Oryctolagus cuniculus: one gene and its partners. The protein of the gene in region 1 binds, or shares a complex with, the protein of each later gene. Links are inferred from orthologs where the notes say so. Each region holds a gene or a part of one and is shown in the gene's direction. Other genes may lie near its edges.

The links.
Region 2: POLR2K (region 1) and UBTF share a complex: the UniProt entries of both Homo sapiens proteins name them as parts of the pol I pre-initiation complex. The link is inferred for Oryctolagus cuniculus from reciprocal best matches to the Homo sapiens genes POLR2K and UBTF.
Region 3: POLR2K (region 1) and GTF2F1 share a complex: the UniProt entries of both Homo sapiens proteins name them as parts of the TBP-based Pol II pre-initiation complex. The link is inferred for Oryctolagus cuniculus from reciprocal best matches to the Homo sapiens genes POLR2K and GTF2F1.
Region 4: POLR2K (region 1) and RRN3 share a complex: the UniProt entries of both Homo sapiens proteins name them as parts of the pol I pre-initiation complex. The link is inferred for Oryctolagus cuniculus from reciprocal best matches to the Homo sapiens genes POLR2K and RRN3.
Region 5: POLR2K (region 1) and TAF1C share a complex: the UniProt entries of both Homo sapiens proteins name them as parts of the pol I pre-initiation complex. The link is inferred for Oryctolagus cuniculus from reciprocal best matches to the Homo sapiens genes POLR2K and TAF1C.
Region 6: POLR2K (region 1) and POLR1C share a complex: the UniProt entries of both Homo sapiens proteins name them as parts of the pol I pre-initiation complex. The link is inferred for Oryctolagus cuniculus from reciprocal best matches to the Homo sapiens genes POLR2K and POLR1C.
Region 7: POLR2K (region 1) and GTF2E2 share a complex: the UniProt entries of both Homo sapiens proteins name them as parts of the TBP-based Pol II pre-initiation complex. The link is inferred for Oryctolagus cuniculus from reciprocal best matches to the Homo sapiens genes POLR2K and GTF2E2.

Annotation. Positions count from the first base shown.
Region 1 is NC_091437.1:125,592,326-125,596,528, forward strand, and holds POLR2K (DNA-directed RNA polymerases I, II, and III subunit RPABC4), read left to right. Parts: upstream 1-1,403; 5' UTR 1,404-2,106; intron 2,107-2,701; 5' UTR 2,702-2,710; coding exon 2,711-2,771; intron 2,772-3,066; coding exon 3,067-3,159; exon of another isoform or gene 3,160-3,190; intron 3,191-3,785; coding exon 3,786-3,808; 3' UTR 3,809-4,139; downstream 4,140-4,203. UniProt on the Homo sapiens protein: DNA-dependent RNA polymerase catalyzes the transcription of DNA into RNA using the four ribonucleoside triphosphates as substrates.
Region 2 is NC_091448.1:19,038,723-19,042,758, forward strand, and holds the start of UBTF (nucleolar transcription factor 1), read left to right. Parts: upstream 1-1,236; 5' UTR 1,237-1,481; intron 1,482-2,045; exon of another isoform or gene 2,046-2,175; intron 2,176-2,494; exon of another isoform or gene 2,495-2,633; intron 2,634-3,696; coding exon of another isoform or gene 3,697-4,036. Other genes in the region: basic salivary proline-rich protein 2-like, read right to left, coding at 3,697-4,036. UniProt on the Homo sapiens protein: Recognizes the ribosomal RNA gene promoter and activates transcription mediated by RNA polymerase I (Pol I) through cooperative interactions with the transcription factor SL1/TIF-IB complex.
Region 3 is NC_091447.1:60,706,499-60,709,858, reverse strand, and holds part of GTF2F1 (general transcription factor IIF subunit 1), read left to right. Parts: intron 1-898; coding exon 899-1,092; intron 1,093-2,428; coding exon 2,429-2,599; intron 2,600-3,360. UniProt on the Homo sapiens protein: TFIIF is a general transcription initiation factor that binds to RNA polymerase II and helps to recruit it to the initiation complex in collaboration with TFIIB. It promotes transcription elongation.
Region 4 is NC_091450.1:18,578,551-18,582,050, forward strand, and holds part of RRN3 (RNA polymerase I-specific transcription initiation factor RRN3), read left to right. Parts: coding exon 1-93; intron 94-2,897; coding exon 2,898-2,954; intron 2,955-3,500. UniProt on the Homo sapiens protein: Required for efficient transcription initiation by RNA polymerase I (Pol I). Required for the formation of the competent pre-initiation complex (PIC).
Region 5 is NC_091449.1:65,920,049-65,924,187, reverse strand, and holds the start of TAF1C (TATA box-binding protein-associated factor RNA polymerase I subunit C), read left to right. Parts: upstream 1-1,339; 5' UTR 1,340-1,506; intron 1,507-3,471; 5' UTR 3,472-3,472; coding exon 3,473-3,610; intron 3,611-4,139. UniProt on the Homo sapiens protein: Component of the transcription factor SL1/TIF-IB complex, which is involved in the assembly of the PIC (pre-initiation complex) during RNA polymerase I-dependent transcription.
Region 6 is NC_091436.1:126,548,517-126,552,591, reverse strand, and holds the start of POLR1C (DNA-directed RNA polymerases I and III subunit RPAC1), read left to right. Parts: upstream 1-1,275; 5' UTR 1,276-1,336; coding exon 1,337-1,405; exon of another isoform or gene 1,406-1,436; intron 1,437-1,516; coding exon 1,517-1,588; intron 1,589-1,885; exon of another isoform or gene 1,886-1,952; coding exon of another isoform or gene 1,953-2,033; intron 2,034-2,776; coding exon 2,777-2,884; intron 2,885-3,093; coding exon 3,094-3,226; intron 3,227-3,448; coding exon 3,449-3,568; intron 3,569-3,650; coding exon 3,651-3,803; intron 3,804-3,957; coding exon 3,958-4,075. Other genes in the region: protein YIPF3, read right to left, coding at 1-65, 238-435, 948-1,028. UniProt on the Homo sapiens protein: DNA-dependent RNA polymerase catalyzes the transcription of DNA into RNA using the four ribonucleoside triphosphates as substrates.
Region 7 is NC_091433.1:80,680,211-80,683,710, reverse strand, and holds part of GTF2E2 (transcription initiation factor IIE subunit beta), read left to right. Parts: intron 1-1,544; 5' UTR 1,545-1,548; coding exon 1,549-1,714; intron 1,715-3,500. UniProt on the Homo sapiens protein: Recruits TFIIH to the initiation complex and stimulates the RNA polymerase II C-terminal domain kinase and DNA-dependent ATPase activities of TFIIH. Both TFIIH and TFIIE are required for promoter clearance by RNA polymerase.

The DNA of each region.
Region 1 (4,203 bases):
AAGCCTATTGCGACTCGTGTATTGAATGACTGCTTCTCTTTGATTGTAACAGGGGTGATGGTCATATGTATGCTGTGTTAGCATGTTTGTGGAGGAAGAAGCAGGAAATTGCTGTTTCCCCAAAAATATTTGATTTTTTATGTGAAAATCTCCATTTAAAAATGTTTATTTATTTGAAAGGCAGAGAGAGAGAGAGAGAGAGAGGTGTCTTCCATCCACTGGTTCACTCCCCAAATGGCCTCACTGGCCAGGACTTGGCCAGACCAAAGCCAGGAGTCAGGAGCCTCCTCTGGATCTGACACGTGTGTGCAGGGGCCCAAACAGTTGGCCATCCTCTGCTGCCTTCCCAGGCATACTAGCAGGGAGTGGGATTGGAAGAGAAGTAGTTGAGACTTGAACCACTGCCCATATGGGATGCTGATGTCACAGGCAGTGGCCCTACCTGCCACACTGCAATGCTGGCCCTAATACTATTATTTTATTACAGAGGCACAGAGGCAGAGAGTGAATCAGCTGGCTCGCTCCCCAAATGCACACAACAGCCCTGGTTGAAATCAGGAGCCAGTCACTTAATCCAGTTCTCCCATGTGGGTGGGAGGGAATCAAGTACTTGAGCCAGAAACTGCTGCCTCCCAGGACGGCCATCAGCAGGAAGCTGGAATTGAGAAGTGGAGCTGGGCTAGGCCAAACTCCTGCCCCCTGGAAAGACAGGGAAATCCCAGTTGAATGTCTCAAGTTGGTTTGTGGAGATGCAACCACACAGTTTTAACTTCTGGAAATGAAAGGTGAAGCTAAAGTTCTCAAGTTGATGGATGGAGTCCTACTTAATAAGATACCAAAGACACAGTGCATGTGGGGGAAGCAAGCCTGCTTCTACAATTAACTTTATAATAACTGTTAACAATTATTTCTGGGGCCAGAGCCGTGGCGCAGCAGGTTAACCCCCGGCCTGAAGCGCCAGCAGCCCATGTGGGCGCCGGTTCTAGTCCTGGCTGCTCCTCTTCTGATCCAGCTCTCTGCTATGGCCCGGGAAAGCAGTGGAGGATGGCCCAAGTCCTTGGGCCCCTGCACCCACATGGGAGACCAGGAAGAAGCTCCTGGCTCCTGGCTTAAGATCGGGCAGCTCCGGCCGTTGCTGCGAATTGGAGAGTGAACCATCAGATGGAAGTCCCCTCTCTCTCTGGTTCTGCCTCTCCTCTCTCTGTGTAACTCTGACTTTCAAATAAATAAATCTTTAATTATTTCTATAAAGTTGTAATAATTTCATTTTCTTAGCTCTGCTTCTATTCTAAGTAAAATATCTTTTGTGAAAGAAGTAAATGAATGTAAATGTTCGAATCTAATCGGCATTTATGCCACTGAATATTCTTTGAAAGAATGCAACTCCCACAAGCACGTCTTTTTTTTTTTTTTTTTTTTTTCTCCTAGGAATACATGGGACCAAGGGAGGGCCAGTGAACCGCTAAAGCTACCAAAATCCTTTAGCTTTAAGTGCGAGGTGTCGAGGGCGCTGCCCCGCAGGTGCGCCTGCACTGTAAAACGAGTAACAGGCGTGGAGGCGAGGGAGAAGCAAAGGGCTGGAGAGCAAAAACACGATCAAGCATGACAAGGACGGGAGGCGGCTGGCACACAGCCCCAGCACAGGTACCCAACAACCTGAAAACAGCCTAGAATGTGCTTTTCTACGGGGTAACAAAAAAAAAAAAAAAAAAAATCACTGGTTAACCGAGTCTAAGTCATCAGAGGAACGGCGCGTTCAGGATTCCACCGGCACTTGTCACCTCCGTCCCTCTTAGTCTCGGTCCTTCCGGAAAAGCGTTCATTTCCGCCAATCTCACGAGTCAGAAATACAAACTTCCTTTGAAGAACTGTTAAAATGATTTTCTTTCCTGAAAAATGAGAATAGCTAAGTGTTAAAAAATGTGCTTGATGTCCACAGAGTCCGTTGCGAGCAAGAAACTAGTTTTAGAGTCTTGCGCAAACTCGGTTTCCGGGCCGGGCCGGGGCGGAAGGGGCGGTGCTCGTCTTGCGTCACAAGCCAGCGCCGGAAGTTGACAGCGACACTGCGTGTTGGGAGCAGATGCGGAGTTTCTCCGTTCTACGCAGGTAAGGAGTTATGGGGCTGGGGTTTAGGTGTGGGTATTTGAGCCAAACCAGAAAGACACTTGGGGGCTAAGAAGGTCCAGTGCGAGGTTAGAGTCAGGAGATGCTGGTGGAGGAGTTGGTGCCGTCAGTGCTTTGCCTGGTTTCTTTTAGTTGAGCTGTTTAGCCATTGGGAATTATTTTAGTATTCTTCCCGGCGGTTAGTCTGTTCCGTTTTGGAGGGATATTCATGTGTTAGATGAGAACTCGAGTTTTGAGCCGAATCTGAATCCTTTTGCCTGCGCAAACTAGTATCTCTCAGCCTCGCTTTCTTCGTGTATAAAACAGGAGTGACACTTGAGGGTTGTTGTGAAGATTATAATGAAGGAACAAAATGCGGATCATTTTCTGTCGTGCCCAGTTTGGGGTCGACTCTCAGTACTTGTGTGTGTCTGTGTGGTTTGCCCCTTAGACCTAACTCCCAGGCACGGAGAAGAGCGCAGATGAGGGGGAACTGGGATCTCTTTCAGTTTTTCCTGAAAAAACAAGGGGAGGGAGGGCTGTTCGGGTTTGTGAGGAACCCCTTTGAAATACTGAGGATTTGATTCTGTGTTTGCAGGGACTGACAATGGACGCCCAGAAAGACGTTCAGCCCCCAAAGCAGCAGCCAATGATATATATTTGTGGAGGTAAGGATAACGCTACATAAAGTAAGAGTATTTTGCTTAATTTGTTTTTGAAATTATTACATTTATCCTTTGAATGAATGAGTCATTGGTGTTTAAAGTTATAAAGGAGCGCCTCGTAGCACCACTTAAAACTCTTATTTGCTCTGGAAAAACAGCATTGCCCACAACTCTCTTCTTTCCCATTTAGTATATTTTGTAATATCATACCCTTGCCTGATATGGTTAAGATAATTTGCCTGTCTGCACTGTTTTCCTTTTAAATTTGAGTAAGCCTTTTTTTTTTTTTTCTCCCTAGAATGTCACACTGAAAATGAAATAAAATCCAGGGATCCAATCAGATGCAGAGAATGTGGATACAGAATAATGTACAAGAAAAGGACAAAAAGATGTATCCTTTAACTCTACTTTTAAAATCTGAGGTAGGAGCCAACTGTAGAGTGATGCAGGGGTTGATAGACACTACTTCTGGTAGAAACCGTAAGAACTTTGGATTAATTAAAGAGATATTATTAGCATTTTTCATAGACAAGAACTGAAGCACTAAATAATTGAAATACTAGTTGATTTTGATTCTCATAAGTTTATTTTCCAGAGATTCTGTATTTACATAAGAACTGATTGTTCAGCTTGACAAATAAATTATACAAGGAGTAATACAAATATTGTGTATGCTACTTAGTAGGAAAAAGTGGAGCCAACACATGAGACTAAACACTGAGAGTGAGTTGTAATTTTCTAACATAACTTTTTTAAAATCACAAGTTATTACCTTTAGCATTCAGTGCTTTTTGATACATTGGGTTTTTTTTCATTGGTTGGGAAAAGTGCTAATAAAAATTGAAAGCTTTTATTTACTTTATATCTAGTTGTTGTAATAAATAGTGAATTCCAGGTCTTTGTGCATTTTAAATTAACAAACTAGCTTGTTGCACATGTAAAGTGATTTGGAAGTCTTCAGTCTTTTTCTGTAATTTTCAACTACATTTTTTTTTTCCTTAACTCAGATGAATACAGTGGTGGTCTTTGATGCGCGTTGAAATGTGCATTCAGAGGAATATCTTCATTTGTACTTGCATTTGCTGTTAATGTTTCTCATTGTTGTATGGCTTTTGGTTTAGCATCTTTTTGAACTACGTATGATTTCATTTTGAACCATATTGTATTTAGGTATCTTTTAATGTAAAGAAGTTAGATTACATGACTTATAATTTAATTTTATTGTTTATGTAATGTGACACAAATGAAGGTTAAAATTACTTTCTTAAACTATGCTTGCAAGCAGAACCTAGAATCATCTGGGGTCTTTGTGAAAAATGCAGATTTTTAGAGCCCTCTGAAAGTCTAATTAAATAAATTCCTTGGAAATCACTGTGTCATGAGATGTTTGTGAAATTTCCAGTGTCTTTGGTACAGAATGTAGCAGTGTGTTTGC
Region 2 (4,036 bases), on another chromosome or scaffold:
AGCAGTTCTGCTGCCCAAGGAATCAATAACAAGCATTCTTATGATTCACGTTCATCCTGCTTTATTCCGAAGCACTTTACCGAAAAGCCCCTTGACCCAGCCAAGAAGTTCAGGGCCAGGAGCCAAGACACCTGGACTCCAGACCTGCGTGTGGCAGATCTGGAACCTTCTTGGGGGTCTAGGTTTCTCCCATTGACCCTCGGATGCCTGGTGAGGCTGCTGTTGTCATTCCACAGATACGGAAACTAGGATCAGGTGGGGTTAAAACTTGCCCAAACACTCACACTATTAAAAAAAAAAGTTAGGACTTTTGATCCCAAAGCCTTTGTCAGAAATAGCAACTGGTTCCATGCCCCGATTTCGGTGCAGCCTGAGATGGCTTGATCCTGCATAAAATGTCCCCAGAGTGAATCAAAGGCAGATCAAGTGTGAGGGCCTGCAGGTGAACTGTGGAGGTCGGAGTGCTCTTTAACCAAAAAAATAAAAAAGAACCAACTACGGGATGCAAAGTCAAGTCCAAGGTCTTGCACAGGCCTTAAAGCTTCAACTTCATTCGCATGATGGTCAGTCTGCATCTTCCTCATGTCCTGCCCGCTAAAAACCCAGACACACCAGATCCCGGCGGCGCCCTCCTCCCGAGGCGAGAACCGTGGCAGGAGTCTTGGGAAAGGAATCTCATCTCTCCCAGGAGGCAGGAGGAATTACCGCGGCGGAGAGCCCGTGCGAGGAGGGAGGGAGGCTGCGCGCCAGCCAAGAGCCCACAGGGGCCCGGGGACGCAGCGGAACAAGACGCGGGCAGCGGCGGGGCCGGGGTGGGAGCCAGGCGTCATGGCGCTGTCCCGGACGAAGGGCCAAGCCGTGGGCCGGCCTGCCGCAAGCCAGCGCCCTCGGCTGTCCGCGGGCTCCCTGCGTCCTGCCCTGAGAACACTTCCCCGGAGCTAAGAAGGCAAAGTCGGACAACCCCGGCGCCGGCAGCGGAGGCCGAGGCCGGACGCTCTGCGCGGCCCGCGCGGCCCGGGTGCCGGGCGCCCCTCGCGGCTCCCCACCGCCGCCGGGGGGCAGCGCCCGCGGCCTGCTTTCCCCGGGCTGGTCGAGCCTTTTTGACAAGCTGATTGCGTGGCGGGGATTGGCTGGTCCGGGCGTGACGCCGGTAACAACAAAGGTGGAGTTGGAAGAAATTAGATTAAGGGAGAGGAGGAAAAAAAAAATTAAAGGGGGAGCTGGCAGGGGACAGGCGGCGGCGAGCGAGGGGGAGATGCGCGCGGCGCGGCCTCCGGTACCGACTGGGCCCCCGGAAGCCTCTCCGCGTAAGCCCGCCGGGACCTGGCTCTCGCTTCCCACCCCGGCCCACTTCCGAAGCCGGGTAGGAGAGACGGCTGCTGCTGCTTTGGAAACCTCCCAGCTCCCACCCTGCCACCCCTCACGACGACCCGAGGGGAGAACTTTTTGCTCGGACTCCACGTATCCTCAGCCCGGCGAAGGTGGGGGGGCGCTGGGAAGGAGGCTCGCTCCAAACCCGGGACGGCCCCGCGGGGCTCGGAGGTCGGGCGAGGAGCGCTGCCGCTCCGGTCTTCCGAGATGGCTCATCTAAGAGCTTCTTTCTGTCTTTTCTTTCTTTTTTTTTTTTTATAACACCCCCCCCCCTTTACTTCCCCCTCGCTTTGGCTTCAGGGTTGCAAAAGCAAAGAGCAATAAAAAAAAAAAAAAAAAAAGGAAAGAAAAAAGAAAAAGAAAAACCGCGCACACACTCAGACACACGCCAGTGGCGACAGGGGAGAGTTGGAAAGGCGCAGGAGAGAAGCAGGAGGCGGGCGGCGGCGGGGCCGGAGCCTTGGGAGCGGGGAGCGGGCAGGTTCCCTCGCAAAACCCCCTCCGCCCCACGGCGCCTCGCCGGCCCCGGCAGGGGAGCGAGGAGCCGGGCGAGCAGATGGAGGAGTGGAGCTCGCTCTAGGCAGCGGGCTTGGCCGGAGAATGGAGGAGCCGCCAAGCGACCGGCTGATTGGAAGAGAAACGCAGAGCGATGGAGGCGGGGGTAGGAGGACGATTTCTCTGCGGGGACTGGCGGCGGCGTACACGCCCGGGTCGGGCGCTGCAGAGCTTGGCTGGCTTTCAACCCGCGCTCGCCGGCTCCAGCCCCGCGCGCCCCCACCCCCGGCCCTCCCGGCGGCTCCGCAGGTGAGTGCGAGCTGGGGGCAAAAAGACCCAAAGTCTCCGCACTCCCGCCCTGCAAAAAAAAAAAAAAAAAAAAAAGAGGAAAAAAATTTTTTTCCTTTTTTTCCCCCCAATTTTCGCGCAGCCCCGAGAGCGGTGGGAGGGAAGGGGTGAGGCTGAGCCACCCGGAGGAGGCGGAGGGGCCAGGCGAGGCCGCGGTGGCCCGGGAGGCGGCGGCGCCGAGGCGGCTCTGACGGGCGAGCGCTCGGAGCGGCGCTGCGCTGCGCCGAGGCGGGCGGGCGGAGCGGGGCGGGCGGAGCGCGGCGCGTGGGGCTCGCCATTAGCCGTCGCTCCGCTTCGCCATCTCGGGCTTTGTCTGGCGACTCGCTGCCCCGGAGTCGGCTGCGGCGGAGCTGCGGCTCGGCTCTCCGGCCCGCCGCGCCCCCAGGTGTCCCCGGCCCGCGCTCCCATCCACACGCTCGGTAAGTGAGCCCCGGCGCCACGGATTTCGGGGGAGAGGGGTTGCTCCGAGCGGCCGCGCCGCCGATCTCCATGCGCCCAGGCAGGCCTGGGGAGCCATGCCGGGCTGGATTGAACCGGCTCCCACCGTGGCTCCTCGCCGCTTCCTGGGTGTAAGGAGCGAAGGGAATTTCTTTTTCCCCCTTGGCAAGGATATTTTGCTTTTCGAGTTTCGCGTGTGCCGTTCGGCGGCGAAGTAGGCGCCGAAGCTTGGCACCGCGATCGGCACCCCGAGCGAGTAGCCACGCTCTGGGGAAGGTGGGCGCGAACCGCCCGCGCCGGGAGGCGGGAGAGGGCCGGCTTGGAAGGCCGGATCTGGGCTGGGAGGCCGTGGAGGAGAGGTCCGGGGCTGCACTGCGGGCACCCCCGAGCCTCTTCGGCCGCCGGGGGGCCCTCCGGGCACCCTCTCCGCGGCCGCGCCTCGGCCCTCCCTCCCGCGCCGGCCGAGCCTGCTAGTTCCCCCGCGGGTCTGGCGAGGTCGCTCTCGGCGCCCGCCCGCCCGCCCGCCTCGGCTCCGAGCCCCGCCGCCATCCGGGCGGCTGCGTGTCTCCCTGCCCCGGCCCCCCCCCCTCCCCGGCGGCAGCAGCAGCAGCAGCCGCCGCCGCCGCCACCGCCACCACCACCACCACTACCACCACCCCCCTCCCCTCCTTCCTTCCCTCCGCCTCGGCCGCCCGGGTCCCCCCAGCTCCCGCCCCTCCTCCCAGCTGCCCCCCGCGGAGCCCGCCCGGGCAGGCTGTGGGAGGGAGCGGAGCCGGCGAGGCGGGCGGGCTGGCGCTCGCTCCCCGGGGGTCGGTGTGCGCTCTACGGGGAAGGACGCGCTCGCTGCCCCGCTTCTCCCGCCCCCCCTCCCGCTCCTCCTCCTCCCTTCTCCCTCCTCCTCCCCGCTCCGGCGGCGGAGGCTGCGGCGGCGGCGGGGGGTGTGCGAGCTGAGGCCGGGGCCGGCGGGCGGGCGGCGGGCGGGCTGCCTGCAGGCGGAGGGCGCTGTGCTTTGTGCTTTTCGCCGCGAGGAGCAGCAGGCAGCAGCTACAGCCGCCGCCGCCACAGCAGCAGCAGCAGCCGCCGCCCCAGCGCCGCCACCGCGCCCGGAGGAGGAGCCGCTGCCGCCGCGGGAGGGAGCTGCGGCTGTGCCCGGCCGAGCGGGGGAGGGCGCCGCCGCTCAGAGCCGGGGAGGGAGCCGCCGGAGCGGGAAGCCCGGAGGTCGCGCTGCGCCGGGTAACCGAGGCGGCTGAGGGCGCGCGCTGGGGGTCGGGGCCGGGGCGGCCAGGGAGAGACCCGCGGGAGCGGCGGACACCCCGGCGCAGACCCGGGGCGGCCTCCGAGCAGGGTCTGGACGCGAGCAGACCGGGGCACTGGGGAGGACGCC
Region 3 (3,360 bases), on another chromosome or scaffold:
TCCCAGTCCGGCTTCCTGTGAGTGCAGACCCTGGAGGCAGCAGTGGCGGCTCAGGTACCTGGGTCCCGGCCACCCACGTGGGAGGCCCGCATGCAGTTCTGGGCTCCTGGCTGCTTTGAGCCTTTGTGGAATGAACCAGTAGATGAAGCCCTCTCTACCCCTCCCTCCATCTCTCCAATACAAGGAAAATGAATAAAATTGACGACTTAGCCTATCCTGGCCTCCCTTGGAGCCTTTGGGCAGTTGGTGCCAGGACCCCACCACAGACCCCCAAAGCCATGGACACCCGAGTCCCTTCCGTAAAGGGCTTAGTGTTTCCCAGGAGCTGCACACCTTTCCCTGTGGACGCTGGCATCTCTAGGCGACTTACAGGCCCTAATGCGAATGCTGCTGTACCGTCAGATTGATTTCTTTATTTGAAAGGCAGAGTGACACACAGAGAGGTCTTCCAGCTTTGCCAAATGGCCGAAACAGCCAGAGCTGGGCCAGGCTGCAGCCAGGAGCCAGAGCTCCATCCGGGGCTCCCACGCAGGTGCAGAGCGCTTGGGCCACCTTCCACTGCTTTCCCAGGCCACAGCAGGGGGCTGATCGGAAGTGGACTCAAGTGTCGCCAGCGGCCGCCTGACCTGCTGGGGCCACAGCGATGGCCCCAGTTCTTTTTAATCATTAGAGATTTTTTTCCCTGTAACTAGTCTGGAAATAATCGCAGGTTTTCGAGAGCGGTAGCGGTAGACCACGACCGGGTTGCTGCGGTTCCCGGGGCACCAGCACCCTGCGGTCGACTGGCGCTGAGCACCCGCCGCTCAGCGTGGGGGAACTGCAGGGTGGGTGTTCCCGGCCCGGGGCCCAGCCCACCCGAGGCAGGCACCCCAGGAGCCGTCGCCTCCTGCTCCCCCAGGCGCGGCTGGAGCGGGACTTGAGCAACAAGAAGATCTACCAGGAGGAGGAGCTGCCGGAGTCGGGCGCGGGCAGCGAGTTCAAGCGCAAGCTGCGGGAGGAGGCGCGCCGGAAGAAGTACGGCATCGTGCTCAAGGAGTTCCGGCCCGAGGACCAGCCCTGGCTGCTGCGGGTCAACGGGAAGGCCGGCCGCAAGTGCGTGCGGGAGGGCGCGGGAGGGCGCGGGGCGGGCGGTGGGGCGCGGCGCTGCCCACGCGGGGCGCGCGGGAGGACACGGGGCCGCTTGTGCGTGCGGGAGGGCGCGGGGCGGGCGGTGGGGTGCCGCGTTGTCCACGCGGGGCGCGCGGGAGGACACAGGGAAGCTGGAGCGCAGCGCTGCCCACACGGAGGGGGGGGCGCGGGAGGTCATGGGGCCGCAAAGGGACAAGAAAACGGGTGTTCTTTAGGTGGAGCCAGGGGTCTGGCACCCGCTAATCAGTGACACCTGCAGATGCAGGGACCTGCCCTTCTGCCCTCCCACCCAGCCCTGTGCACTTAGTGGGTGCCCTCCCTGACCCTGCTTCCCACTGCTACCGTGTGGTCTCAGGGCACCTGTGTGACCGGCCCTGGAGGGGCAGAGGGGCAGGCTGAGGAAGGGGGAGCTGGTCGCTCAGGGAGGGGCTGTCAGGGTGTGCCGGGGCGGGCGGTGGGGTGCCGAGTTGTCCACGCGGGGCGTGCAGGAAGACATGGCGCCGCAAGTACGTGCGGGAGGGCGCCAGGTGGGCGGTGGGGCGTGACGCTGCCCACGCGGGGCGCGCGGGAGGACACGGGGGCGCTGGGGCATGGTACTGCCAGTGCGGGGTGTGCGGGAGAATGGAGGACACGGGGGCTCTGCCCGCGCGGGATTGTTCTCGGCACTGCACCGGAAGCCCTGAGCCCCCACGGCCTAGCAGAGCTGCACGGGAAGGGAGATGGCCGGGAGGCAGGTGCACAGGCCTTGGGGGGGCACCCCTGTTCTGACACCCACTTACCAGCCAGCCTCCAGCCAGCACTCCTGGATCCCCTGGGGGTCGGGGGGCTCACTGAGGCGGCCGCCTCCCCTCTACCCTGTCTTTTAAAGGTCCCCCACCTCCCACACGTGATCTTAGGGGACACATTTAACCCACATCCGGCGCAGCAGTGGGGAGTGGGGGTGCCAGCCTGGGGACCTGCCCTTCTCCCCTCCCACCCAGCCCTGTGCACTTAGTGGGTGCCCTCCCTGACCCTGCTTCCCACTGCTACCGTGTGGTCTCAGGGCACCTGTGTGACCGGCCCTGGAGGGGCAGAGGGGCAGGCTGAGGAAGGGGGAACTGGTCGCTCAGGGAGGGGCTGTCAGGGTGTGCCGGGACCTGGGCCCACAGGGCCCTGGGTGGCCGGAGCACACTCAGAGGCGTCCGGGCATGGGGGCGGGACTGGGAGGGTGGGGGCCAGCAGGCACCCCAGAGGAGATGGGGGATGCCGGTGGGGCCGGGTCTGGTGTCCTGGGCCGGGCAGTGACCGAGGCTCCCCGCAGGTTCAAGGGCATCAAGAAGGGTGGCGTGACGGAGAACACGTCCTACTACATCTTCACCCAGTGCCCCGACGGGGCCTTCGAGGCCTTCCCTGTGCACAACTGGTACAACTTCACGCCGCTGGCCCGGCACCGCACGCTCACGGCCGAGGAGGCCGAGGAGGAGTGGGAGAGGTGAGCGGGCCTGGCGGGCCTGGGCGGGCCAGGGTGCACAGCCACACGCATGACCCCGGCTGCAGGCCAGGCCCCGGGCTGGGAGCTGGGATGGGAGGGGGGGGATTGGGGGAGGGCTGACATCAGTCCACCCTCACACGGCTCGTAGTCCAGTGTGGGGCAGCACGGACAGAGCTGATACGCGCAGGGCCGGGGGTGGCCGGGCAGGGTGCTCCAACAGCACGTGCCCCACCCACCCCACCCCGTCTTCCCCAGGCCTGCAGGACCAGCCTGGGGGCTCCCCTCCAGCAGCTTCTGGGAGGGGCCTCTGAGGCCCTGGGGACGGTGGGCATAGTTAGGGGCACGTGGGCTGAGGGACATGGCATCAGGCCAGAGCCCAGAGCACTTTAAATGCCCATCTGAGGATGTGACTTTTTTTTGTAAGATTTACTTATTTGAAAGGGAGAATTAGAGAGGGAAAGACAGAGAGAGATCTTCCATCCTTTGGTTCTCTCCTCAAATGGCCCCAGTGGCTGGGGCTGGGCCAGGCCAAAGCCAGGAGCCAAGAACACCATCTCTGCCACCTGGGTGGCAGAGACCCAAGTCCTTGGGTCCTCTGCTGCCTTCCCAGGAGCATTTGCGGGCAGCTGGATCAGAGGTGGAGCAGCCGGGACTGGAACTGGAGCGTGTGTGTGGCCACAGGGCTGGGCCCCGCCTCCCTGGGGCCTCTGCGGTGACACAGGCCACAGATGCATCTGCAGGTGTCCCCGGCGCCCCCTACT
Region 4 (3,500 bases), on another chromosome or scaffold:
CTTGCATTAGAGAATGATTTCTTCAATTCTCCTCCAAGAAAAACTGTCCGATTTGGTGGAACCGTAACAGAAGTCTTACTGAAATACAAAAAGGTAAGAGGAGGTTTGGTTTTTGTTGGTCAGAATACAGTTATTCTAGCATTTTGTTCAGGACTAGTAGATACACTAAAATGTGAGATACCAGTATTGAAATAAAAAACTGCATGAAGCCTTATGCTCAAAATGAGAGTGATAATGTCTTTTCTGAGGTTTCTCCTCTTCAAATGCTTTATTTACATAGTATCTTTTTTTTTTTTTTTAAGATTTATTTATTTATTTGAAAGGCAGAATTACAGAGAGATAGAAGCAGAAAAAGACAGAGGGCTTCCATCTGCTGGTTCACTCCTCAAATGGCTGAACTGGCTGGATCTGGGCTGATCTGATGCCAGGAGCCAGGAGCTTGTTCCTGATTTCCAATGTCGGTGTAGGGGCCCAAGCACTTGGGACATCTTCTACTGCTTTCCCAGGCCATATCAGAGAGCTGGATCAGAAGTGGAGCAGCCACTTGAACTGGCATCCATACAGGATGGCGGCACTGTAGGTGGTGGCCCCTTTTCACAATATTTTTAAGACTTTAGCAACTGCTCCAATAAAAAGCCATTAGAAGATTTTATTTCTTAAGGAATTACATAAGCATTTTTGTTTATTTGTTTTTGTGTTAGCTTACAAGTAATCCTACCAAATCTCAGCAGTAAGGAGAAAACGTACATAACTGTACATTTATATATAATATCCACTTATGTCCATGCATGTGAATAGATCCTGTCTTAGTTCCCAAAATTAGATCATCACAACAGTTTGTTTTTAGTTTTTAAAAATTTTATTCTTGGCCGGTGCCGCGGCTCACTAGGCTAATCCTCCACCTTGCGGTGCCGGCACACCGGGTTCTAGTCCCGGTCGGGGCGCCAGATTCTGTCCTGGTTGCCCCTCTTCCAGGCCAGCTCTCTGCTGTGGCCCGGGAGTGCAGTGGAGGATGGCCCAAGTGCTTGGGCCCTGCACCCCATGGGAGACCAGGATAAGTACCTGGCTTCTGCCATCGAATCAGCGCGGTGCGCCAGCCGTGGCAGCCATTGGAGGGTGAACCAACGGCAAAGGAAGACTTTTCTCTCTGTCTCTCTTTCACTGTCCACTCTGCCTGTCAAAAAAAATTTTTTTTATATTCTTTAAAAATGTATTTTCATTTTATTTGAAAGAGAGAGAGAGAAAAACACAGAGAAATATCTTATCCCCTAGTTCACTGCCCCAAATACCTGCAATAGCTGGGGCTGGGCCCGAACAAAGCCAAGGTGGCAGAGACCCAGACACTCGAGCCATAATCTGCTGTGTTCCAGATGCACGTCGCAGAAAGCTGGATCAGAAGCAGAAGAGCCTGACTTGACCCAGGCGCTCTGACGGGGATGTGTAAATCCCAAGCAGCGACTTAAATGCTGTGCCTTTCAAATGCCTAACCTGCAGCAGGTTTTTTTTTTCCTTTGAAAAATAAATTTATTTATTTTACTTATTAGAGATAGAGCTCCCATCTGCTGGTTCACTTCTCAAATGCCTGCAATGGCTGGGGCTAGCAGGAGCTGATAACTCAAAAGTAGGTCTGCCATGTTGGTGACAGGGACCAATCTACTTGAGCTGTCACCTGTTCAGTTTTCTTCTCATTTTTTGAAACTCGGGAGTATGGACTATCATAAACAAATGCAACTAAATATAAAAGGCTTTATAGTTGTTTATTTTTTCCAAGCCTCTGGCTCCACTAACGTGCATTTAAAATTTTTTGTTTGATTTATTTATTTGAAATGCAGAGTGACTGAGAAAAAGAGATTTTACATCTGCTGATTCAGTCCCCAAATGACTGCAATGGCCAGGGCTAGGCCAGGACAAAACCAAAAGCTTAGAACTCTAGCAAGGTCTCCCATGTGGGTGGCAGGGGCCTAAGTACTTGGGACAACTTCCACTGCTTTCCCAGGCTCATTGGTAGGGAACTAAGACAGGAAGTGGGACAGCCTGAGACTTGAAGTACTGTGGTGTAGGATGCTGGCTTCACAGATGTCAGCTTAACCCCCTGTGCCACAATGCTGGCCTGCCTTTTAAAATCTTGTAGTCCTGGGGCTAACACTATAACACAGTGGATTGAGCTGCCATCTGCAATGCTGGCATCCCATGTGGGTGCCAGTTCGAATCCTGGCTGCTCCACTTCTAATCCAGCTCTCTGCTAATGTGCCTGAGAAACCAGCAGAAACTGGCTCAAGGTATTGGTCCCTTGCAGCCATGTGGGAGACCTGGATGAAGTTCCTGGCTTTTGCCTGACCCAGCCCCAGCTATTGTTTCTATTTGGGGAGTGAACCAGCAGATGGAAGATCTCTCTATCTCTTCTCTCTATAACTCTGCCTTTCAAATAAAATTAATCTTTAAAAAACTTGTGGTCATGAATTCATAATCTGCAACTGATGGATGAAACATAGAATGTTATTTTTCAAAATTGAGAGGCCGAGAGAGAGTGAGCTTCCATCCCCTGGCTTACTTCCCAAATGCCTGCAGTGGTCAGGACTGGGCTGAAGCCAGGAGCAGGAATTTAATCTTGGTCTGTCTACTTTTCGGGTGGCAGGAACCCTTTTGAACTATCACTGCTGCCTCCCAGGGTCTGCATTAGCAGGGAGTTGGAGTCAGGATCTAGAGCTGGTGTTGAACCCAGGTACGCCACTATGGGATGGGGATATGCATATCTAAACCAGTGTCTTAAGTTGCTAGGCCATCTGCCCGCCCCACAATGCTCCTTTTGTAATTTCATCAAATGTTAAAGTATAAAAGTCTTGCTGTTGATATTTAACAGGAAACCAAAACTTCATTTTCTCCCCATTCTTGTTAAGGGTGAAACAAATGACTTTGAGTTGTTGAAGAACCAGCTGTCAGATCCAGACATAAAGGTAATTAATTTTTTATTTGATTCTTAGCAAAGTTACTGCTATTTTGAACAGACATTAGTTTGTACTTTTGGTCCTGTTCTATCCTCCAGACCTTTCTCTCCGTTATTCTTTCTGGATTTACTCCTCACTCAGGGCCGTTTACCCGCTAGGGGACATTTGGTGATGTTTGGAAATGTTTTTGTCTGTCACAATTTGGGAGTGGATTACAGGGATGCTGCTAAACCCTTTCTCACCATGGACAGTGCAGCCCCAGCAACCAAGAATGATCCAGCCCCATTGCCAGCAGTACTGAGGTTAGGAAACCCGGCTTTAATCCTTTCTACTTCCTCTGCTGTCTGCAACCCTTGTCTCTCCAAGCTCAAACCAAAAACACATCAAGAGCTAACTGGGCTTCAAGCTGCTAGTGCTTCAGTGTTTCCAAGGTCAAGTTGTAGCAACTCAGTGCGTTTTGTTTCACCCCTCTTTATTGCCCAGTTTTGGAAAGCGGTTTGTTGCTATGACAGCGGTAGATTACCTGGGATAAAACCTCAATTCATTGTTATTGTT
Region 5 (4,139 bases), on another chromosome or scaffold:
ACTTGAACCCGGTGCCCATAGCTCTCTGCTATGACCAGGAAAGCAGTGGAAGGTGGCCCAAGCGCTTGGGTCCCTGAGCCCATGTGGGAGACCCGAAGAAGTTCCTGGCCTCAGTCTGGCCCATCCGTGTCCGTTGCGGCCATTTGGGGGAGTGAACTAATAAATCTGAAAATAAAATACTATAAAAAATGCGTAGGAATAACTTCAACATAAAAGCAAAATAATTTGTCCACACACACACACAAATCCATGCATAGTTTTTTCACAGGACACGTTTTCTGAGGGCTTTTGAGAACCTGGGAATCGATTGTTCAAAGCAGTGTTTCCGTAGGTGTAGTCCCTGGGCCGGCACCATCATCATCGTCACCTGGATCTGTTGGAAAGGCACCAGACCCAATGGATGAGAAACTTGGGGGCAGCCGGCCAGCCACCCAACAAGGCCTCCAGGTGAGCCTGATGCACGCTGGGGGGGAGACCCACGGGGGAGGGTGATGGGCTCAGACTTGTGACTGACGGTGATTGTCCAAGCAAGGCCCCACGGCACCTGGGAACCCACGGGCAAGGTTACCAGACCCAGCCACCAACTGTACTGAAGTGCACCCCAGCTGCCGCCCTGCAGTGTGAGTACGGCTGCCTGAGGCCGTCCCTGCCCGACCGGCCCTGGGAAAGCCTCAGGTACTCCCGGGGCACTCAGACGAGGATTTAAGGACAATCGGCAGGACACCTGCTGACCCAGACGGGGCCCGATGCGTAGTAGGTGCTCGTGTTTGCTGAGCTGATGGACTAACCCTGGGACACAGGGAGCCCATGGGCTGGCGCTGTGGCCTAGCAGGTAAAACCTCTGCTTTCCATGCCACCTTCCCCCTATGGGCACAGGTTCAAACCCCGGCTGCTCCTCTTCCCATCCAGCTCCCTGCTAATGCACCTGGGAAGGCAGCAGAAGATGGCCCAAGTCCTTGGGCCTCTGAACCCACATGGGAGACCCGGAAGAAGCTCCTGGTTTTGGCCTGGCGCCATCACAGCCATTGCAACCAACTGGGAGTGACCCTGAAGATAGAAGACCTTTCTCTCTTCCTCTCTCTCTGTAACTCTGCCTTTCAAATAAACAAATCTGGAAGGAAGGAAGGAAGGTAGAGAGAGGGAGAAAGAAAGGCAGACAGACAGAGGAAGTCTATGAAGCAGAGGCGGGATTCGAACTCCACTCATCTTAGTATCCAGGATTGAGGCTCCATAGGGTTTTAGTATTTTCAATGCAGTGCGCTGTTCCCTCTCCTCCCGAGAGGTGGTGCTCTAGAGCGCGCATGGAGCCGGGCCGGGAGGCGGGACTTCCTGTCTCCCTGGGAACACTTCCGCCCAGACCCGGAAGACCGTTCATTCCTCTGTGTGGCGGGTCCCGGCGTGAGCGCGGTAGCTGGAGCGACGCTTTCGGGTTCTCTCGCGGCGGGAGGGTCTGGCGAGCGTCGCGCGGCGCCCCGTTTCCCGGGCACCCCGCCCCAGCTGAGCCACGTAAGTGTGTGCGCGCAGGCCCGGGGTGTCGGGGGGCCGGGGCCGCGCCGGCGAGTGAGGGGAGGGGCGTCCGGCTCCCACCGCCGCGGCGGCCTGGGCTCTGCGGTGCCCTCCTGGCGTTCCTGCAGGCCCGGCGGGGCGGGAGGCCGGCGGGCAGCGCGCGGGGGCCCGGCGGGGGCCTGGCGGGGGCCTGGCGGGGGTCGTGGGCGCCCTCGGGCTGCCCGGGCTTGTCTGGCGCCGCGCGGCTCCTCTCGCCCCCGCTTGTTCTCGGCTCTGTGTGCGATGTTGTGGGTATGCCCTAGGCGCTGGAGTGAGAGCCTGCCTTCCCTGGGAGCTGTGGGAGGCTCATCTTGTTTATTTGAAAGTTAGAGAAGTCCCCATCCGCTGGTTCTCTCCCCGGACGGCTGCAGCAGCCAGGCCTGGGCCGATCGGCAGCCGGGAGCTTCCTGCGGGTCTCGACCCACGTGGGTGCAGGGCCCAAGGACTGGGGCCATCTCCCACAGCGTTCCCAGGGGCACGAGCAGGGAACTGGATTGGAAGTGGCGCAGCCGGGACACGAACCGGCGCCCCCGTGGGATGCCAGCATCGCAGGGGGCGGTTTTACCGCTCGCCACACCTACCCGAGCATCCTTACGTATCTGCCACAGGCTGCTACCCGCTCTGGCAGGACAGCGGGTGTTTGGGGGAGAACAGAATTGAAGGGGTTAAGGGAGGCTCCTGGACTGGAAATCCAGGCTTTTGAGGTGGGGAGGGCGGGCCCTGGCGCGCAGTTGGAGAGGGGATGTGCAAAGGCCCTGTGGTGAGGCAGAGCCTTAAGGAGTGTGGTTGGAGCCCAGGCACCAGACATGAGCAGGAGGCTTCTCTGTGTGTGACCCTTGACCCGTCAGGGATACAGCCCCTCCCCCTCCCCGGGAGGCCTGGGGGCTTGGTGCCTGCAGTGGGTGCCTCCACCGTTCCCGCCACTGGCGGCTCCTGTCCCCAAACAGTGACGGTGGCAACAGACCCAGCACCTGCCCTCGGAGACGCCCATGCCGGTGCCCGGATAAACAGTGGGGCCGGCACAGGCCCCGAGGAACAGCTGTTCATTCCACGGGCAAGGGTTCCCCAGCGCTGCGCGGCGGGCCGTGTGCGCGGTGCTGAGGGTGCCTGGCCGCCCCGGGGCGCGCGGTGAACTGATGAAGCCCGCTGGGAGTTGGTCTGCAGGAAGGGGTTCCTGCCAAGGCCCCGTGCCGGCGTTTGCTCCTGGGCGCCGGAGAGTGAGGCGCAGAGCTGCGGCGTGGCTCCGGCGCTCGGGCAGCTGCTGGCCTGAGCGGGTCCCCGCGCCCGGACACGGACGAGGGAGGGGCCTGGCGCCACGTGTGCAGCCGCGGGCCCAGGTGTGGGGGCGCTGCTCTCGCTGTGGTGCTGTGTTCATTAAGAGAGGGCTGAGGTGGCGGCTGCTGCTTTGGGAACCTTGGCCTCTCAAAGCCCTTTGCCACGGACTTGCTCTCGGTCAACGCGTAGTACGCGCCCGGGAGGCGCCGGGGGCGGCTGCTGGGCTCGGTCCTGGCGTAGTCCTGGGACTGAGCCGAAGGGGAGGCGTCTGCAGGTGTGTGACCGGAGGCCCAAGGGCGTCTAGCAGCCGGCCCGCTCCTCCTCCTTCGTCCGCTCGCCAAGGTGTCCCTCAGACAGTGCCCAGGGCCCCTGGCAGCTCTCCGCAGGCTGCCTCCCTCCCTGGGGTCAGGCTCTGTCGCTGGCCTCAGGAGGCTCACCTGGCTGCGGGCACGCCCCTCCTCCGGGCCGGGAGGCTGGTTGTCCACCGTCCGGTAAGGCACGTAGCCCTCCTCGGGCCAGGGCTGCACGCGCGCTTGCTCTGTGTCACCTGGTCCTCCCCGGGGAGCCCGGAGGCCGGTGCCTCCTGGGCCGCGCCGGTCCTGGCCAGTGCCGGGTGCAGGTCTGCTGCGAAGGCCGGCGCTTCTTTTCCAGGATGGACTTCCCCGGCTGCCTCCGCCCCACCTCGTTTACCACCGGCCCCCTGGGGCTGAGCGACGGCCCCGACCTGTCGTTCATGTGCAGCTGGAGAGACGCGCTGACCCTGCCGGAGCCCCAGCCCCAGGACGCCAAGGTGAGGAGGGGCAGGAGACAGCCGGGACTCTGGCCGGGTCCTCGGAGTCCCGAGCTGGCTGGTGGGGCTGAGCCCTCGGGGGCTCATCGGTCAGGAGAGACGGTGTAGCAGGGCAGGCTCAGGGTGGCCCCCTGCGAGGGCCCCTCCCCCTACCGAGTGTCTGTGCTGAGCTGTCTCGGGCTGGCGGGCGGCGGAGGGTCCTCTGGGGCTCCCGGAGCAGGTGACGAGGTCTCCTGAGCGGAGGGCAGAGGAAGCGGGACTCGGAGCGGCCGGTGCGGAAGGGGGCTTCCCTGCTGGGTCAGGGTCACAGGCGCGCAGTCTAGAGCCGGCTGTTGGCCTCCACGTCCCCGCTCCTCGCCGCGCTGACAGCTGGGCTCCCTGTGGCTCCGTCTCTTCAGTGAAGCCATGTCGGAGCTCCCGCTGACTGCAGGGTGGTCGTGAGGGCGGACCGAGGCGCTCGGAGACTGGCGTTGCGCAGGGCCTGGCCAGGGGCGCGCTCTGCTCACGTGGCGCACTCTGGTTGTGTCCC
Region 6 (4,075 bases), on another chromosome or scaffold:
AGGATGTCGATGTTGGCATACAAACTGAAGGCTCTGGAAGCTTGTCTCTTCCCGGCCTGCCACATCTGAGCGGAGATGCGGGGATGGCCCGTGAGGCTCCTGGCCCTGGGGTCCTGCTCCCTAGCTTCTGTCGGGGTTCTACTGGGCTCCAACTGGGGCAGCCTGAGGTCAAGGTCACCCACACGACTCCAGATCGCGCAGGTATCCTGCACTTGCCAAGGATTCAGCCCCGCTTACCTGGTCAGCCACCTGCCGGCTCAGCTGCCCCTTAAAGCCCTTCATGCCCAGGAACTCCCCATCCTCCTCTTCCGCAGCGGCCGCGTCGGCGTCCACTTCTTCCTCGCGCAGGCGCTGGTGCAGCTCACCCATGTCCTCGAAGCTGGAGCCCGAGGTGTCATCCATGTTCTCCATGTCAATCACGGCAGAGCCCCCACCCTGTGAAGGCAATGCCTCCTACAGTGCAGGCCTTTCTGGTCCCTGCCCCGCTGCTGGCGCCGCGCCTCCGAATCCCCGCACATCAGGCCACTGTCACCCCTCACTTTCTCTCAGAACCCCCTGGCTGCTGGTTCCGGCGCTCTCCTCTAGCCCGAGAAGCCACCTACTTGTCTTCCGCTCATGCCTTTTCCCCACCTTCCCCATCAAAGGCCCCGAGGGTTTGCAAGGCGCAAGCAAGACCATGCACACAAGATGTTTCTGGCGAGTGCCAGCGAATCCCGCCCACTGCCCCGCTTGACCCCGATTGACCTCCTCTTCTGTCTCTCTTCCTAACGCCTCAGGCGCGTCCAGAGACCCGAGGCCCTCCGGCCGGCACTAGCTTCACTGACTTTCCCGTGCACGAAGACCCAAAGGGGAGAGGAGTGTTGCAAATGGAGGAAGCTTTCGGGCCCCGAGGGAGGCTTCCCCAGACACGTCGGGGTGGCCGGCAGCCGAAGCGCTGGGGCCATTACCTGGATGTTTTCTTCGAACCCGCCCCATTCCGGGCCGGCCCCGTTTCGAGCGCCGCCGGCCGGCGCCGCGGTGGCTGCCATGTCCCTGGAGGGCTCCCGTCCCCGAAGCCAGCGCTAGCCCCGCGCGCGGAGGAAGAGGGGGCAGACGTGGGCCTGAGGCACGGAGACGTCCAGGGCCGAGGACAGGCGCCACCAGCCGGAACGCAAAAAAGAGAAACCCGGATGTTTGGCCCAGACAGACTTCCGGAAGTTGGGGACGTGGACGGAGGCGGGGCAAAGTCTCGCGATACGTCGGGCTCCGGGAGGCGGTGCGTTGCCACGGCGACGGAGGAAAGCCGCTAGAACGCACGCGCAGGCGTGAGGCCTTAGTCTCGTGGGGGAAGTCGAAGATGGCGGCGGCTCAGGCCGTTGAAGAAATGCGGAGCCGCGTGGTTTTAGGGGAGTTCGGAGTTCGGAATGTAAGCCTTGTGGCCTTGAGTTCAGAAGGAAGTATGAGAGGGACGGGTCGGGATCAAAGTGAGGGCGGGCTTGGCTTCGCTGCCTCTTCACGGACGGACCCGTATCTCTAGGTTCATACCACCGACTTCCCCGGGAACTATTCCGGTTATGATGATGCCTGGGATCAGGACCGCTTCGAGAAGGTGCGTGGGGCCGGAGTGTGATCGGAGCAGCCCGGGCTTCCGAGCTGCTCCCAGGGGTCACTCACGTGGCAAAACCAAGTTTGCTCAGCATCCGACCGTGTCCTGGGCGCTCCTTGCACACCGGGCTTCTGCCTTGTTCTGCGATCGAGCTGTTCAGGCCTGTACAGGTCATTCTAGTTGGATGCGGTGACGGCGGCTGAGAGTGGGGGTGGGGCACCCCTCAGAGACGGTCTAGACTGGGGCAGAATCATAGGATTCCCTGAAGGAAGTGACATCTGAGTTTGAGCCCTGAACGGTGAGTGAAGGTCGAGGAGGGAGGAGTAAGCGAGCTAACTTGTAAAGACGGGGTGGGCGTGTCCCTAGAATGTCCGAACCGCGCATTATTGATAGAATGTTACACTGGCCTGACGGCGGGCACTGGGGGTTCTTGAGCAGGCGTGACCAGGTGATCCGGTTTGCAGCTTTGGTGGTTGAGAAGGAGGAGAAGGGGCGGGCAGATCGCTAGGCAGTGCTGGGGGAAGGAGCCCAGGAGTGCTTTGGTGAGAGCGGTCAGGACTTTCTGGCTGTGGGAACTCATCTGACGGCTGGCGGTGCCTGGGCAGTGGGAACGATGACCCATTCGGTTCCCCGCGGTGTGGAGGAGCTAGCAGCCCAGGAGAGCGTTCGACAGAATGTGGGGAGTTGTCCATAGTAGTTGCTAAAACCGTGAGTGTGGTTGATGTCACTTTGGAGAGAGACAAGAAGCTGGGGACCGGTAACACCTAGGTGGTGGGTGGAAGGAGACGCAACTCCTCAGATGGAGGACTGGTGCCCAGACACGGAGGAGATGGGGTTTGAGAAAGGAGTTTTTTTTTTTTTTTTTTTTTTTTTTTTTAATTCAATGCCAAATGTAACATTAGTAAGAAAAGAACTGAGTCCTGTCAGCTGGACTAAACTGTATAGAAGTTTCTGCTCTTCATAGAATAGCTTCTGGCTCAAGCCATATTGCATAGGATTTTCAACTAGTGGCATACAAAACTGGGGGCATTGTTCAAGAAACTAAAAGAACAGAGGAAGAAAACATCAAATGAGGCTTTGCTGGGCAGAGGAAGGCTTCTGGGGGAGCGGGGATGTTCCGTGTCAAGGGGGAGCTGTAGCCAGGTCACACCAAGAGCAGGCTCCATCCACTTGTTTTTCCTTTGCCTCTAGAACTTCCGCGTGGATGTGGTACACATGGATGAAAACTCGCTGGAGTTTGACATGGTGGGAATTGATGCGGCCATTGCCAATGCTTTCCGGCGAATTCTGCTGGCGGAGGTATCAGCGGGGCCGGTGACGGCTGGAGCGTGGGGAAGTGTGCCATCACCTCATCTGTCAGTGTCTCAAGTTGCCCCCCCCCCCCCCCCCCGATTTTGTGGAGTGTTTTGCTTTAAGTTTTTATGAGGCATTCTTCTAGGAGTTGTCCATCTCAGGAGGTGGGGAGTCTGCCGGGTTTTTATAGACGGGTAATCCTGGTCTCTGGGTAGGTGCCCACAATGGCTGTGGAGAAGGTACTGGTGTACAACAACACATCCATCGTGCAGGATGAGATCCTGGCTCACCGCCTGGGGCTCATTCCCATTCATGCTGATCCACGACTGTTTGAATATCGGAACCAAGGTGAGGGCCTGGGAGATGAAGCTGTTGGGGGAAGTGGAACCGCTTTCTTCCTTAGTAGATCCTGGGACCAGCTGCCTGGGTTCGAATCCTGGGTTGACTCTTGTGGCCCTGGGCAAGTGACTCATCATCTGTGGACGAGAGGAGCAGCACACGGGTAGCACTCGGCAGTGTCTACCCTGATGCTCACTGCTGCTGTAAGGGCCGCCTCTTCCCTTTGTGCAGGGGACGACGAGGGCACAGAGATAGACACTCTGCAGTTTCGGCTGCAGGTCAGGTGCACTCGGAACCCCCACGCTGCTAAAGATTCCTCTGACCCCAACGAGCTCTATGTGAATCACAAAGGTTAGTGGGCAAGGAGGGAGGCCTGGCTGCTGGCTGTGGGGGCGTCTCGGGGCTACAGCCCTCTGACTTGTCTTCCCTCCAGTGTACACCAGGCACATGACGTGGGTTCCCCTGGGGAACCAGGCTGACCTCTTCCCTGAGGGCACTATCCGGCCGGTGCACGATGATATCCTCATTGCCCAGCTGCGACCTGGCCAAGAGATTGACCTGCTCATGCACTGTGTCAAGGGCATCGGTGAGACCCGTGGGCCGCCTCAGGTGCAGGGCGTAGCTTAGTCGCCGCAGGAATCCAGGGATGCTCCTGACCGGCAGAAGGCGGTGGGCTTGGGCTTTCGCGCTCAGTGGCTCGGGAGAGGATTCCCCCAGGCTGATCTCTCCCTTCCCTGCAGGCAAGGACCACGCCAAGTTCTCACCAGTGGCGACAGCCAGTTACAGGCTCCTGCCAGACATTACCCTGCTTGCACCCATAGAAGGGGAAGCGGCTGAGGAGCTGAGCCAGTGCTTCTC
Region 7 (3,500 bases), on another chromosome or scaffold:
GGTGTCCATCAGATGACTAGATAAAGACAATGTGGTACATATGCCCAGTGAAATATTATTCAGCTATAAAAAAGAATGAAGTTCTACCATTTGAGCAAAATAGATGCAAGTGGAGGATACTGTGTTGAGTGAAATAAGCCAGACACAGAAGGATAAATATTACGTGTTCTTCATTATGTGTAGGAGCTAAAATTAAAGAGGAAAGAAACCCCAAAATAAAAAATGCCTGTGTGTACCAGTATTGCTGCAAATACAGTTTGTAAAACTTTGTTTTATACCTCTGTCAAACCAGTGGTTAAAAATGTTATACCACGGGTGGGCATCATGGTATAGGGGATACAGCCACTGCCTGTGGCGGTGACAGCCCACCCACGTGGGCACTGGTGCATTTCTTGGCTGCTCCACTTTCTGTCCAGCTCCCTGCTAATGACCTGGGAAAAGCAATTGAAGATGGCCCAAGTGTTTGGGCCCTTGCCACCCATGTGGGAGACCTGGAAGAAGCTCCTGACTTTGGCTTGGTCCTGGATGTTGGGCCATCTGGGGAGTGAACCAGTGGATAGAAGATCTCTTTTTCCTGTCTCTGGAACTCTGACTTTCAAACTAAATCTTCAGAAAAAAAGTTATACTACTGGCCGGCGCCGCGGCTCACTAGGCTAATCCTCCGCCTTGCGGCGCCGGCACACCGGGTTCTAGTCCCGGTCGGGGCGCCGGATTCTGTCCCGGTTGCCCCTCTTCCAGGCCAGCTCTCTGCTGTGGCCAGGGAGTGCAGTGGAGGATGGCCCAGGTGCTTGGGCCCTGCACCCCATGGGAGACCAGGAAAAGCACCTGGCTCCTGGCTCCTGCCATCGGATCAGCGCGGTGCGCCGGCCGCAGTGCGCCGGCTGCAGCGGCCATTGGAGGGTGAACCAACGGCAAAGGAAGACCTTTCTCTCTGTTTCTCTCTCTCACTGTCCACTCTGCCTGTCAAAAAAAAAAAAAAAAAAAAAAAGTTATACTACTATAATTTTAATGACCCGTGGTTATTTTAAAATTTACCATATATGGGTAAAATGGTCATTTTTCCATTCAATTGTTTATAGCCATTGTCTCTATTCCTGCTAAACTAGGATCTTTTTGCTTTAAAAAAGAAAAAAAAATTATTTGAAAGGCAGAGTTACAGAGAAGGAGAGACAGAGATCTTCCATCCTCTGGTTTACTCCTGAGTGGCTGGGCCAGGCTGAAGCCAGGAGTCCAGAATTCTGTCTGGTTTTCCCATATGTGTGGAAGGCCCAGACACATGAGCAGGGACTGGATCTGAAGCAGAGTGGCTGGGACTTGAACCCGTGCTCATGTGGGATGTTGGCATTGCAGGTGGTGGCTTAACCTGTACACAATGCCAGCCTTACTAAGTGTTTTTTGGGTTGATGAATAAGTGAGTAAATGTAAATGCCGGAGAACTAATAATAAATTGTAATTTTATTTGGGAAGGAACTTGTTGATCTTTGGATTTGGCATATAGATTTGAGTGACTTGAATTTGTCTTACAGATATTTTATTCTTTACAGCATTATGGATCCAAGCTTGTTGAGAGAACGGGAGCTGTTCAGAAAACGAGCTCTTAATACTCCTGTAGTGGAAAAGCGTTCAGTATCTTCTGAATCATCATCCTCATCATCGAAGAAGAAGAAGGCAAAGATAGAACATGGAGGATCATCAGGCTCTAAACAAAATTCTGGTTAGTAAAATTGTATAGGACTCTTAGGGTTTTCATGTTTTTTTTTTTTTTTTTCCCCCATTTGTTTTGTTTTTAGATTTATCTATTTGAAAGATAACGTGAGGGAGAGACAGAAAAAAATCTTCTATCCGTTGATTCACTCCCCATGTGGCTGCCATTGTCAAGGCTGAGCTAGGCTGAAGCCAGGAACCAGGAACTCCATTTGGGTTTCCCACGTGGACGTCAGGAATCCGCATACCTGGACTGTCTTAATGCTGGCTTTCTAGGCACATTAGTAGGGGACTGGATGGGAAGTGGAGCAGCCGGGGCTCAAGCTGGTACTCCCTTGTGGAATGCTAGCATTTCAGGCTGTATCTTAATCCACTTTCATCCCAGTGCCAGGCTCCCCCCCCCCCCCCCCCGTTTTTATTTTTTAGAAAGGCATTTAGTTATGATGAGTTCATTTTTCAGTTCTAAGTTAGTTTTTTTTAGATACTTTGTTAAATATAAGAGATGGGGCCGGCGCCGCGGCTCACTAGGCTAATCCTCCGCCTAGCGGCGCCGGCACACCGGGTTCTAGTCCCGGTCGGGGCGCCGGATTCTGTCCCGGTTGTCCCTCTTCCAAGCCAGCCCTCTGCTGTGGCCCGGGAGTGCAGTGGAGGATGGCCCAGGTGCTTGGGCCCTGCACCCCATGGGAGACCAGGAAAAGCACCTGGCTCCTGGCTCCTGCCATCGGATCAGCGCGGTGTGCCGGCCGCGGCGGCCATTGGAACAGTGAACCAACGGCAAAGGAAGACCTTTCTCTCTGTCTCTCTCTCTCACTGTCCACTCTGCCTGTCCAAAAAAAAAAAAAAAAAAAAAAAAAAAGAGAGAGAGAGAGATGGGATGATAAGAAAATTTAAGCTCTTAAAGTGTTAATAGTCTCATATTATAGTTAAGATTTAGGTTATTGTTTCTTAAGGGCTGGACATTTGACCATTATCAAAGATTCCCAGTTCAAGTACTTAACTTTTCTACCTCCAATCTAGTTTCCTTCACATCCTGGGTGGCAGTGGATAATGACTCAACTACTTGAGTCCCTGCCACCTAGGGAAACCTCAGTGGCATTCCTGGCTCCTGGTTTCAGCCTGGCTCAGCTCTGGTTATTGAAGGCATTTGGAGAATGAAGTAGCAGATAAAATCTGTTTCTGCCTTTCAAATCAACTGAAAAAAAAAATTAGCTTTAAAAAACTTGAGGTTTAATATATATGCCATATGGTTCACTCATTTTAAGTGTACGATTCAAATATTTTTAGTAAGCTTACAGTTGTGCAGCTAGTACTACTGTTTCATTTTACACTATTTCCATCACTTCCTAAGGATCTTATGTGGCCATCTGCAGTGACTGTTCTCACTTCAATCCCAGATAACCAATAATCTACTTTCTGTCTATGTTTATTTACCTTTCTGGACATTTCCTATAAATAGAATTATATAATTGATGGTCTTTTGTCTGTAGCTTTTTTTTGCTTAGCATTCTTTTTGTGTTTCATCCATGTTGTAGTCTGTATTAATACCTTATTTCACTGCTAGAATATTCAATTGTAAGAATATACCACAATTTATCTGTTCATTGGTTAATGGACATTGGGATTATTTCGACTTTTGGGCTGTTTTGAATAATGTTGCTATGAACATTCCTGTACATGTCTTAACATAAATGTATGTTTTTGTTTCTTTTGGGTAGATACCTATGAGTGGAATTTCTGGATCACATGGTAGATCTTTGTTTAATTTTTTTTTTAAGATTTTTTTTTTTTTGAGAGTT